Linked DNA regions of Arabidopsis thaliana. The protein of the gene in region 1 binds, or shares a complex with, the protein of each later gene. Each region holds a gene or a part of one and is shown in the gene's direction. Other genes may lie near its edges. The genes, in order: AT1G20110 and AT4G34660.

What was found.
Region 2: AT1G20110 (region 1) and AT4G34660 share a complex: the UniProt entries of both Arabidopsis thaliana proteins name them as parts of the phosphoinositide 3-kinase (PI3K) complex.

The regions. Positions count from the first base shown.
Region 1 is NC_003070.9:6,969,522-6,975,669, forward strand, and holds AT1G20110 (RING/FYVE/PHD zinc finger superfamily protein), read left to right. Parts: upstream 1-1,902; 5' UTR 1,903-2,032; coding exon 2,033-3,037; intron 3,038-3,109; coding exon 3,110-3,196; intron 3,197-3,288; coding exon 3,289-3,420; intron 3,421-3,521; coding exon 3,522-3,653; intron 3,654-3,807; coding exon 3,808-3,873; intron 3,874-3,958; coding exon 3,959-4,069; intron 4,070-4,214; coding exon 4,215-4,307; intron 4,308-4,416; coding exon 4,417-4,450; intron 4,451-4,540; coding exon 4,541-4,608; intron 4,609-4,979; coding exon 4,980-5,057; 3' UTR 5,058-5,609; downstream 5,610-6,148. Other genes in the region: AT1G20100 (DNA ligase-like protein), read right to left, coding at 1-298, 388-658, 1,098-1,178; AT1G20120 (GDSL-like Lipase/Acylhydrolase superfamily protein), read left to right, coding at 5,983-6,148. UniProt on the Arabidopsis thaliana protein: Endosomal sorting complex required for transport (ESCRT) component regulating multivesicular body (MVB) protein sorting and plant growth. Required for the formation of intra-luminal vesicles (ILVs)in MVBs.
Region 2 is NC_003075.7:16,544,668-16,550,670, reverse strand, and holds AT4G34660 (SH3 domain-containing protein), read left to right. Parts: upstream 1-2,176; 5' UTR 2,177-2,376; coding exon 2,377-2,436; intron 2,437-2,891; coding exon 2,892-3,005; intron 3,006-3,083; coding exon 3,084-3,153; intron 3,154-3,262; coding exon 3,263-3,414; intron 3,415-3,667; coding exon 3,668-3,769; intron 3,770-3,904; coding exon 3,905-4,105; intron 4,106-4,195; coding exon 4,196-4,258; intron 4,259-4,378; coding exon 4,379-4,531; intron 4,532-4,761; coding exon 4,762-4,836; intron 4,837-4,959; coding exon 4,960-5,076; 3' UTR 5,077-5,481; downstream 5,482-6,003. Other genes in the region: AT4G34670 (Ribosomal protein S3Ae), read right to left, coding at 449-547, 644-844, 937-1,122, 1,193-1,330, 1,568-1,673, 1,764-1,811, 1,937-1,947; SQS2 (squalene synthase 2), read right to left, coding at 5,756-5,821, 5,918-5,960. UniProt on the Arabidopsis thaliana protein: Regulator for autophaosome formation and/or maturation.

The DNA.
Region 1 (6,148 bases):
ATACAGGGAGGAACTAATTCATCAAACAATGAATTGTACCGGGATTCTTTGCTAGGCTTATGTTTCTTTCTCTTCTTTGATTCGGAAATAATTGCTACCTTGCCACTCTCAAGAGAAGTTGAGGGTACAGCCACATCATGATCACAGATACTTGGAAGAGAGACAGAACTTGGTAATTCGCTAGGTCTCTGAGTCCCTGAAGTGGAACAAACAGGATCCTCTTGAGGTACAGCTTCAGCTTCTTTCGGTTTCTTGAAAACAATACGAATCCGTAGTGGTTTACCAGCTACAGGTGTAGCTGCAAATGATTAAACGTCTCTGTTTCAGTATATGTATTCAAACACAATAAAGATATTCATCTAATCCGGGAAGAAACAAAGCACAAACCTTTGATTTGACTCTCAACAACAGCAGGAGAAGTTTCCCTTCTTCTCTTCTTACTGTTCTGGCTACCATCAGACAAATATCCAACCTGAGGTTGCTCAAATTCTTCTGTTAAACAAGATTTCTCAAGCTGTTCGGATTCATATGAGACTGTCTTGGTTGTGGAATACTTCTGTTCAAGGGATTTCTTCTCTTTCTTTAATTTCTTTTCTTTCTTTTTCTCCTTCTTCTCTTTCCGATGCAGCTTTTTAGAATCAACTATTGGTCTTTCGATCTTTATAATCCAATCAGAATAAAGGATTTAGACTAGAGGAAGGATTTATCAGGCAAACAACCAGATACCCATATACGTGGGTAACATCATTCAACCACAAACACACATAATGTTAATTACTCAAAACATATATCTACAACGCGTCTTTATGGTTGACTTTATAATTGGAGACCAAACCAAACTAACATACATGTCTACACGACATCGTTAAGAACGAAATTCATTATGCTAAAACATGTATAGTGTAGATTCAATTCATAGATCTATGCTGAAGATATTTTCCTACAATTTAACCAATCAATAACTTATATGCAACCTAGAGATCTGGCTACAAAGAGGATATTATAAGGAAATTTAACTCTGACCGAACACAGAAACCCATGTTCAGACAAGAGGACACCGTAGCGAATCAATCACAAGAATTGAGTGCTCGACGAACCTTAGTCCATTCGACCAAGTTTTGACCGTTCGCCCAGTTCCTCGCATACACAGGCGGTGGGGATGTGAAATATCGTGACATCGTTTTTTCTTCTTCTCTTTCTTTCTTTCTCAGATCGAATCGACTAACGGACAAGACAACGGACAGTAATTCGGACAGAACTAAATCGAACCTAGGTTTCAGATTCGCGCCTAATGAAACTTCTTCTTTGTGGCGCGAAATCAAAACGAAATCGATAACGAGAGACGGAAGAGAGAAGAACCCTAATTTTTTTTTTCGATTCGATTTTGTTAATCGATGAGAGAGAGAGAAAGAAGAAAAAAACCAATTGCGGTTGAGAAAATAATGGTGAAGGGTAAGGTTCTATTTAAAGACGCGTGAAACACTCAGATCCGCCGACTCGGGCTATACTTACGTTTTTGGAAAGAATAATGTGAAAACCCTAATTTGTAAGGGCTATTCCGTCAATTAGTCGTTATCATCTCCGTGAAGCTCGGTCCGAGTTTGCTACGTCATCTGAAATACCCTTTTTATCCTTTGCGTCTTTCTTACTCCAAACTTTATTATTGGGCTTAACAAAAACTACAAAAGCCCAAAACCCAATGTTAATACGAGGAGAATAATTAATTTTAATTGACTTTGTGATTAATGGGTCTCTTGTCCGACTTGGTTCCTTACGCTTGCATAGAAAAACAGCTACAATTATCTGTGGGCATCACGCGTTAAAAAACCATCTCTTACTTCTAATCAACGGTTCATTATACCGCCACGTGTATTATTATTAAATATACAAAAAAGTTCGCGGCACAGACAATCCTTCCCTCACCAAATATTCCCTTGACTCTCTCGATCTATCTTTCATCTTCATCTTCGTCATCGTTTCCAATTTCCGATATAATCTGATCAAATCATCGCCGACGATCACCGATTCAGCGATGCAACAGGGAGATTACAATTCGTACTATCACCACCAATACTCTCAATTTCAAAATCCTACTCCGAATCCTAATCCTAATCCCAATCCTTCTCCGCCGGCGCCGGCAACCGTAGCTGGTCCGACCGATCTTACTCGAAACACGTACGCATCAGCGCCACCGTTCACCGGCGGTTACGGTTCCGCCGATTACTCTAACTATTCACAGAATTACACTCCTTACGGGCAAAACTCTGAGCATGTCCCTCCTTCAGCTCCTTCCTTCACTTCACCATCACAACCTCCTCCTTCTCCGCCGGCGACATCACTAAACCCTAATTCTTATTCAACCTTCAACCAACCACCACCTCCACCCACGATTCATCCACAACCTCTATCCTCTTATGGATCATTTGATTCTACTGCTCCGTATCAGCAACCTACCTCGCAACATATGTATTACTCACCGTATGATCAGCATCAAACCTCTGGCTATTCATCTGCGCCTCCTCCTTCATCTGCGCCTGCGCCGAATCCTAATCCCGCGCCTTATTCATCATCCTTGTACTCTGCACCTCCTTATAGTAGCGGAGGATCATCCATACCTCCTTCGTATGAGAAACCGTCAGTGAAATTTGATCAATCTGGTTATGACGGTTATAACCGGAGCAGATCGGATTTAGGATCTGATCTATACGGAAAACGATCTGATAGCGGAGAATATCCTGCTTTTGAAGATTCCTATGGCGATGGCGTTTATGCTTATCAAGGAGGCAAAGTTGAGCCATACGGTTCTCGTGGAACTGCGCCGAAATCATCGAATTCAACATTGTTCGATGATTATGGACGATCCATTAGCTTTTCTTCTTCAGGGAGAGATTCTTCTGTTAGCTCGAATTCTGCTAAGATCGTGAGAGCTGTTCCTAAGGCTGATGTGCAGGAAGATTCCACTGGTGGTGTGCAGAAATTTCGTGTCAAATTGTTGGCTGAGACTTATGGACAAACCACAACAGATGTTCTTTGTCAGGTAATGTCCCCAATTCAATTTGAACTTTGTGTTACCTAAACTAGTTTTAGTGAATTGGTTTTGTGCTAGCAGATTGGTTTGGATGGTCTTCGTATGCTTGATCCAAGTACTAGCCGAACTTTGAGAATATATCCTCTTGAGAACATCACAAGATGCGAAGTAAGAGATTATCTACCTTCTTCTTATGACTGAATTTGTTCCATTTTTGTGACTGGAGGTCTTATCTATTGTTGTAAATGTCTTTCTATCAGAAACTAGATTCGTCTATTCTGGCTTTCTGGTCTAAGACTCCGGTAGACATTGAAGCTAAACGTATCAGATTGCAATCAAATAGTTACACCACCAACACCCTTCTGGACACTGTGACGGCTGCAATGTTTCAGGTTCATAAAATTTACAAATTTTGTTTCATTAAAAGTCTATATGTCAATTCCATCATGATTTCTTTTGACTAATCCAATGTTCTTATGTTGGTGGGTTTTAGGCCAAGGAGATCGGGGGAAGTAGCAGGCCTCCCACCTCTGGAAAACTGATTGAACAAACTGCTGAGAAGAAAAAAGGATTGGGTGATTGGATGAACATTATAAAGCCTGTTAATGAGGAGAAAGATCATTGGGTAGGTTTTTTTTTTTTTGGAAGAAAAACACATTTCTCTTGTAGTCAAAGTAAAAGGGCTAGGGTAGTTTTGGTGATTAGTTACATCACTTGATTCTTATTTTCTTGCTTAGCTGTGGTATGTTGTTCTCATTCCATGTTATTTTTGGCTTTAGGTACCTGATGAAGCTGTTTCTAAGTGCACATCATGTGGTTCAGATTTCGGTGCATTTATACGAAGGGTATTATTTTCCCCGATCTAACAATCTGAATTAAATTTTTGGCCATGTTGGGACTATCAAACCTTATGGATTTTTTATTTTCTAGCACCACTGCAGGAATTGTGGTGACGTCTTCTGTGACAAGTGTACTCAAGGCAGGATTGCTCTCACTGCTGAGGATAATGCTCCTCAAGTCCGTGTTTGTGACCGGTGCATGGTATGCTTATCTGTCTGTTTATTTTTCCTTAAGTTGAGAAATCATGTTCCGTTGATTCCTGAGAATGTAGCTTTAAGTTAATTTGAACTGGTATCTTGTCTTTTATGCGTATGCCTCTAAGTTCAATCTGTTTCTGGATGTGCAGGCAGAAGTGTCACAAAGGTTGAGTAATGCCAAGGAAACCACTGGCAGGAATGTGAGCCTGCAGAGCCATGAAGACCTTGCTAGAAAGTTACAGGTGAGCTAATCGTCCTTGGTTCTTTATTAAGTTTAATGATTTACAAGTTGAGTTAATATCTTGGGCAAAGTATATAATTGTTTTCTGATGGCGGATATGTTTGATACAGGAGGAAATGGAGAGAAACCGCAAGTCTTCGTCTGGTAATTTTTCATATCTAATATACTTATGTTTATGATATATTGTTTCTGGTATTTTATGGTTGCTGACAATGATAGCTATGATTCTAACAGGTTTGAGGGAAGGATCTGGGAGGCGGATGAAAGAAGTAGCTTGTCCAACATGCACTGTGCACTTACAGGTTAGATCCTTTGATAGCATGTCTTTCGTTGTATGATTTTGGGACCCAATTTTTTCTAGAATAAGGAAAACAGGGAGGTCCTCATAATCACTTGTGTCAGTGTGTATGATCATCTTGCAAACTACATTGACGAAATAGAATAGCTAGAGAAATGTTTATGTCTTACGTGAGACCTCTAGTATTAAACAGTTACATATGGTCGATGTGATTTTCTATTAAGATTGGATCATGGAGATTGTCGCTTAATCATCTGAATAAATAGTTAAAGCAAGTTGATAGATAACTCGAGGCAGATTGGAATTTGAAGTTGGCTTGTTTGTAGTGTCTCTTGATAGTATGCGTTTATGAGAGCATTGCCATTTAAATTGCAGGTCCAGGTTCCAGTCTCAGGATCAGAGACCATTGAGTGCGGAGTTTGCCAAAACCCTTTCCTCGTTAGCGCACATTGATCTTCCTACCCGCTTTTTTGCTTGACATATATATCAATTATAAGTATGAGATTTGGTTCATTTGGTTATTGAATTGGGTTTGATCACATCAAAATAAGTTCTTGTCCTGTCTCATGTGGATGGTGTTTCCCCTTTGTGTGTATATGAAAGTCTTTTGAGTGATGAACATCTTATACTTTTCATGTAGTCTGTTGTCCTACTGATGTCTGATTGGTTAATTTACTGTATCAGTCCTCCAATGTCATTACTCCTGCTTCAATTTCTCTGACCACTCACATGTAGTCCAATCGGTTCGTTGTTCATTATGTATTTTACTACCATTAGGTCCAAACACTTGAAACGTTATGTTATACTGCGCCTGGAACCGAAACAGAGCGGTTTCAAGTTGACCTGGTCTTCTTCCATGGTAATTGCAAATCCTCTGATTCGAATCAATGAATGCTACAATGGTGTAAAATACTGTGCTACAATGGTGTACCAAATTTTTAAGCTTTCCTTTCATATTCAATTGATTCAATTAGGTTAAGTATCATAAAACGCTTTAATATTCTTGTCCACACTTGTTCTTTCTCGAGGGTCGAGGCTGTGTTTATTCGAGTTGTTTTTGGAAAATCATCTCGTATTTTTTTTCTTTTGAGAGAATAGTGTAGAAACTGTGGTCTTATAGTTTTAGAGGGTAATACGAAAATGAGAGTGCGATTAGTAATGGATAACTGAATTTAAGAAAAGTTCAAAGTGTGTGAATGAGAAGGAGTCGTAAGAGACAAGCATCTTCTTCTTATAACCATCTAAACCACATGCTTATGTCCACTTTTTTTCTTTCTTTCTGAGTGAAAAACACTTTAGTCTCCCACTCTTTATATTTTGTAGCTTCACAGCAAAAATTCTCTTTTACTTATCAGACAGATAAGATCATATAGCAAATATGTTGCAAGATAGAGTTTCTGGTTCTTTGTCTAGTTCGAAAATATCTCGATGTGTTTTGTTTCTCTCACTCTTTTGTTTCTTCCTCTTGACGATGCATGCTTCAGCAAACCGCTTACAGCGAGTTCCAAATCCAGGGCCTTCCCCGGCACCAGAGCCTAAGCCAT
Region 2 (6,003 bases), on another chromosome or scaffold:
AATCTCAATGTCTTACCAGGACCTAATAAGTAACAACTGATCATTATTCGAATCAACAAATTATATAACTCAAATTATACAAAAAGAATTGTGTAAGAGATGCGGAAATTGCTAGTTTGTCGAATAATTGAAGAGGTAAATCGGGGTAGTGCAAATTATTTTATTTTATTTCGATTACTTCTTCTCAAAAGTTTTAACCTTTTTACAGTTTGACTTTGATGTAAATCCTAATCTTGTCCATTTAAATATTTGAAGAGAGAGCAAATCCAGATTCCAAAAATGAAAAGAAGAAGTGAAGAACTAAGACATATAATAAAAAAGGTAAAACATGATAAACAATAAAGATCATCCATCAAAAACGAGTCCAAAACCAGTCACACCAATGGCGACATAACATTAGGTTCTTTTTTTTTTTTGCCAGCGAAAAAACAAACAAATCTATAATCCCCTAAGCTCCGATGATTTCTGTTGGCTCCTCAACCATTGTCTCATCAGCTGGCCTGTCTACCTTCACACCAACATCCTCTGCTGTGTAATCTCCATGCACCTAAAGATAAACCAAAACAAAAAGAGTTAGATTTCATTACATCCTTGGAACCAAGACTAGTGCATCAATGATGAAATTAATGTGACTTCAATCTACCTCCATGAGCTTTCCAAGGTCAAACTTGGGAGCCTTTAGGATCTTCACTTTACGGATGAACACATTCTGCAACGGGTAGATGCCCTGTGTTGCCTTCTCAATCTCTCTTCCAATGGCCTCTGGGATGAACTTGGCCACTAGCTCCTTGAGGTCACAAGATGAAGCCTCCTTCACCATAATCTCACTCATCTTTCTGCGGATCTACAAGAATCAAGAAACATTTACAAGGAAAATGTTAATCTTCTGTTTACAGAAAGCCAAATAGTAAGCACATGGTATGATAATGTTGTAACCTGACGGATTTGGCTGGATTGAGCGTAACAGGTACGCTTCACTTGGTTAGCACGTCTCTTTGTGAAGGCGATGCAGAACATCCTCAAGGTGTAGCCGTCTGTGGTTTTCACATCGACATGGGCTTCAATCAAAGTCTGCCACTTCTTCACCAATGACCTTAGCTTGTCGGTTGTGAAATCCATACCCTACAGAGATCACAGATTAAAAACCGCACTCTGTATCAATATGCCAGTAAAGGAGTGGTCTTTATCTTACCCAGAACTGGGTCAACACATTCCTTCCCTGAACATCTTCAGCTCTAAGACGGATCTTCCTGTAGGCATTATCCTCATCATTTTGTAGATCAGCAAGAGAAACCTCAAACACCCTGTGTTTCAGTCCCTCAGAGGCAATCTGTTTAAATTAAGAGATAGCCCAGATAACAAAGTCAGATTTGTCGAAGAGGAACACGCTCTTTTCTATCACAAATGCAATTCCTATTACTTCAATAATGAAAGCCACCAAGAGCAAATGCCCATCTCTACACCTCACATTCAGCAAATGACCTATGCCATGAGATAACTATAGACTCAAAACCTAGAAAGCTCTAACCTTTCTCCAGTATAGTAATAGAAAGACATAAGACATTACCTTGGTACCCTGAGTCCTGGAAACAAGAGTCTTCCCAACATTCCTGTTCGTGAAAGAACCAGGAGCCTTCACGTCATACCAATCCTTCTTGGAGAAGGGATCAACACTGCACCATCCATAACAATTCAATCACGAACACTATATACAGATTACAATTAGAAATCTGAGAATTTTATTCAGGACATAGGTTACTTACGCCTTCTTCTTTCCTCCTTTCCTACCCTTTGAAATCCTCTTGTTCTTCCTATATGATCAAACAAAAACCTTAAATCAGAACATGATATACTCGAAGCTATGATCAAATGAGAGATTCCAATACAGAGACTGGAGAAACAAGCAAGGAATATAGAGATGCGAAGAGAGATTTACCCGACAGCCATGGTTAAGGGTCTTCTAGATGGTGTAGCGACGACGAGCTACAGTGAGGAAGAAGAAGAAGCGGCTTCAACAAGTGAGAGAAAGCCCTAATTCACTGGCTTTTCATTTATATATGTCTAGGGTTTTGCGTCTTTTTAGTTATTTTGAGATGATATAAATTTATAGCTTACTGGATTTTATTTTCAAGCCCAATGGGCTATTATAGAGAGCCCAATATTAACCTTCTTGGTGAAACAGAGACTTTGTCTATCTTTGATTTCTTCGTGTTCGAAAGCAGAGAAATTTGTTCTGAGCTCAACGCCATTTTTGACGATTTCGAATCTCTGTCTTCTCTGAGTTGTTCCAAGTAATCGGAGGGAACTCGTAAAGTGGAAGAATAGGAGAAAGAGAGAAGGAAGAAGATTTGTGAATAGCTCTTGATCTGGTGAAGAATGGATGCAATTAGAAAACAAGCTAGCAGGTTGAGAGAACAAGTTGCGAGACAGCAGCAGGTTAAAGTTCTTAACTTTTGGTTTGCCCATTTGCTTAGATCCCGATTCTGTATCTTTTTTTCTAGATTTTGTTTTTATCTTCTCTTGTGATTCCGTTGAGTCGTTGGTTTCTGGTGAATGAATCAATAATGTGATGATGATAAAGGGGCTAGCTTTTTTTCGGATCGATGGTTTTTGACTTAATGAGTAATTGGATCTGAGTGTGATTAATACGTTGATTCGATGTGAGATTGGGTAAAATTCTGTAGAATTGGAGAAGTTTTTGTCAAAGGGTAATTTAGGATACTTTTATGTGAGAATCCGTTTCAGTTTTGTGAGCTGGGATTTGAAAGATGTTGTAGTGATAGATTAACATATTGGTGCTACATGTTCCAAGTTACCATGAGATTGGGTGTTTGTGTTCTTGAGTTTGAGGTTAATTAGTACACTGACTTAGTTTTTGTGGAATGGTTAAGGCTGTCTTTAAGCAATTTGGAGGAGGGGGATATGGCTCTGGTTTAGCTGATGAAGCAGAACTCAATCAGCATCAGAAGCTAGAAAAGCTTTACATATCCACTCGTGCTGCTAAGGTTGTTTTTCTTAAGCTTTTGACTAGTTTGAAGTTTTGATTACTATTGATTTTGGACTCATTCGTTCTTCGTTTTCAGCATTACCAAAGAGATATTGTTCGTGGTGTGGAAGGTTATATAGTTACAGGGTCAAAACAAGTTGAAATAGGTGATTTTTTTGACCCTTTGAGTTTTAACTTATTGTATTTTTTTATGTCTGTTATAGACTTGAATTGGCTCACAGGCCTGTCTTTCATTTTGCACTCATTTTTCATCAGGTACGAAATTGTCTGAGGATAGCAGGAAATATGGTTCAGAGAATACATGTACGAATGGTAACGTATTAACACGGGCTGCACTGAACTATGGGCGTGCTCGAGCACAAATGGAGAAGGAACGTGGAAATATGTTGAAGGCTCTTGGTACACAGGTTTGTCTTTTTCATCTTCCATCAAAGTGTTAAGCAATAGCACATATCTGTTGCATGCAATATAACTACACAAATAATTACTTTCCTGCCATTGTTAGTGGAATGACTGCCATTTGTGGGAAGATCTATTTCTTTTATCTGGAATAATTTGTTACATACTCTTTAAAAGTCAATTAATGTCATGGTGTTCACTTGGTTCTTTCTTTATTGCGGTTTGGCTACTACAATCATATGTCAATCCTGAATTTGTTAGGTTGCTGAGCCATTACGGGCAATGGTTTTGGGAGCTCCATTGGAGGATGCTAGACATCTTGCTCAACGCTATGACAGAATGCGCCAAGAAGCTGAAGCTCAGGTACGGTGAAAGATAATACCATGAAGCTATTTAATTACCGTTAGTAGAATATGGGTTTTTTCCTCTTCCAAGAACTAGTCATTTTATTATTCGCATGATAGAACTTTACTTATGCGCCTGCTTTAATCCAAACAGGCTACAGAAGTTGCCAGACGCCAAGCAAAGGCGAGAGAGTCTCAAGGTAATCCTGACATCTTGATGAAACTGGAATCTGCTGAAGCAAAACTTCACGACCTAAAATCAAATATGACAATATTGGGGAAAGAAGCTGCTTCTGCTTTAGCTTCCGTTGAAGATCAACAACAGAAATTGACTCTTGAACGACTTCTTTCAATGGTAGTGCGATTGGTTACAAGATCCATTTCTAGGTCAACTTTGATTTACTTACCCATATGTAACAACTGTATTTTTCATTCCTGATCACAGGTTGAATCTGAACGCGCCTACCATCAAAGAGTCCTCCAAATACTTGATCAGCTCGAAGGAGAGGTTGGTGTGCATTAGTTTTACAGCTTTCAGTTTCCTGTGATAATAGTATTCTTGTCGAACAATCAGTTCATCATTATATGAGTCAACTAAGGACAAAATGGAACATTCTTGAACCTACAGATGGTATCTGAGAGGCAACGTATAGAAGCTCCCTCTACTCCCTCAAGCGCAGACAGTATGCCGCCACCTCCATCATATGAGGAAGCTAATGGAGTGTTTGCATCTCAGATGCATGACACGTCAACAGATAGCATGGGTTACTTCTTAGGAGAGGTATGCTTTTCAGTCTTTAATACCTTCCTTTTAGAGTTAAAACTTTGGTTTATATTGGTAGTAAAAGTATCAAAGAGATAATTGGATTATAAGTTCTCCACGTATGAACTGGATGTACATAAACTGTTTTTGATTAGAGAACCAAAAAGACAGGCTACATCTAGATTCCTTTTGGTCCTCATTGATGTGCCATTATAACATATTATTTCCCTTTTTAAAAACGTTTTCAGGTCTTGTTCCCATATCACGGTGTGACAGATGTCGAGCTCAGCTTATCAACTGGTGAATACGTTGTTGTTAGAAAGGTTCGATAGTAAACCAACTCCCACATGAGAAAAACCAACAAAGTCTCCTTTAATTCATATTAACCAATACGGTTATTCAGTAGTGTTTGTTTGATATACCACTTCTCTATTTGTCATTGCCAGGTTACAGGCAGTGGATGGGCCGAAGGTGAATGCAAAGGCAAAGCTGGTTGGTTCCCTTATGGGTACATTGAAAGACGGGAACGAGTTCTTGCTAGCAAAGTGTCCGAAGTTTTCTGAGAATTTGAAGGTAACATTATGGTTCTTTGTTGGTTATGGAATTGAGTTGCTTCTGTAGAAGAGTTGTGTGTTCTGTAGAAGAAAAAGAAAGAAAAGATTCACGGGCTAAAACAGAAGTCCATATGCATGAGGATCAGAGTTGATGCGGGTTTCTGCCATGTTCTGAATCTAATAGTGATGCCACTTGAACAAGAGTTCAGTTTTTAGGTATTATCTTCATATTGGATTTGGATATTTTCTTTGTCATTTGATGTAAACGCCACATCTCTGTTTATCTTCGTATGTGAATACACTTCTTTTCGGGTCTTATTTGTGATTTTTTGTCCAAATTACTTTCATTTGATAACCTTGAAACTTGATGAAGAAGTGATTATTTTTCAAATTTACGCAAATGATCATACGCTTAAGTGTGTTAGTGCATTATTTAAATATCACTCTGCAATTTATCAAACTTAAACTTCAGTAAGAATTCCGGAAAACCAACATTATGAGCATGATGGTTGAATTTATAACTTCATAAAAATGAGAAAACAGAACAACTGAAAAGGAAGAGAGAAAGAACAGAACATTTTGACGGTTGAAGTCGTAGACAATCTTGAATAGACTATCAATTCAAGATTTGATCAAACATTTCAAAAAAGCTAGAAATTATGTTCATGATGACTTCACAAAATCAGAGTCACTTACATTGGTTTGCTTTGAGATATACAACGACTATGGCCAGTAGAAGCACAAACATTACAACCTGCAATTTCAGGAGTAGATTAGAGGAGGAGGATAAGTAACTTAATCCTATATATGAAAGAATTTCTATGGAAGTCTGATACAAATCTGAACTTACAAAGATAGCCTTGGATTGTGTTTCATCGTTAACATAAGATTTTCTGACCAGCATTAAGAAGAAAAAACAGAAAAAGATTCATTAGA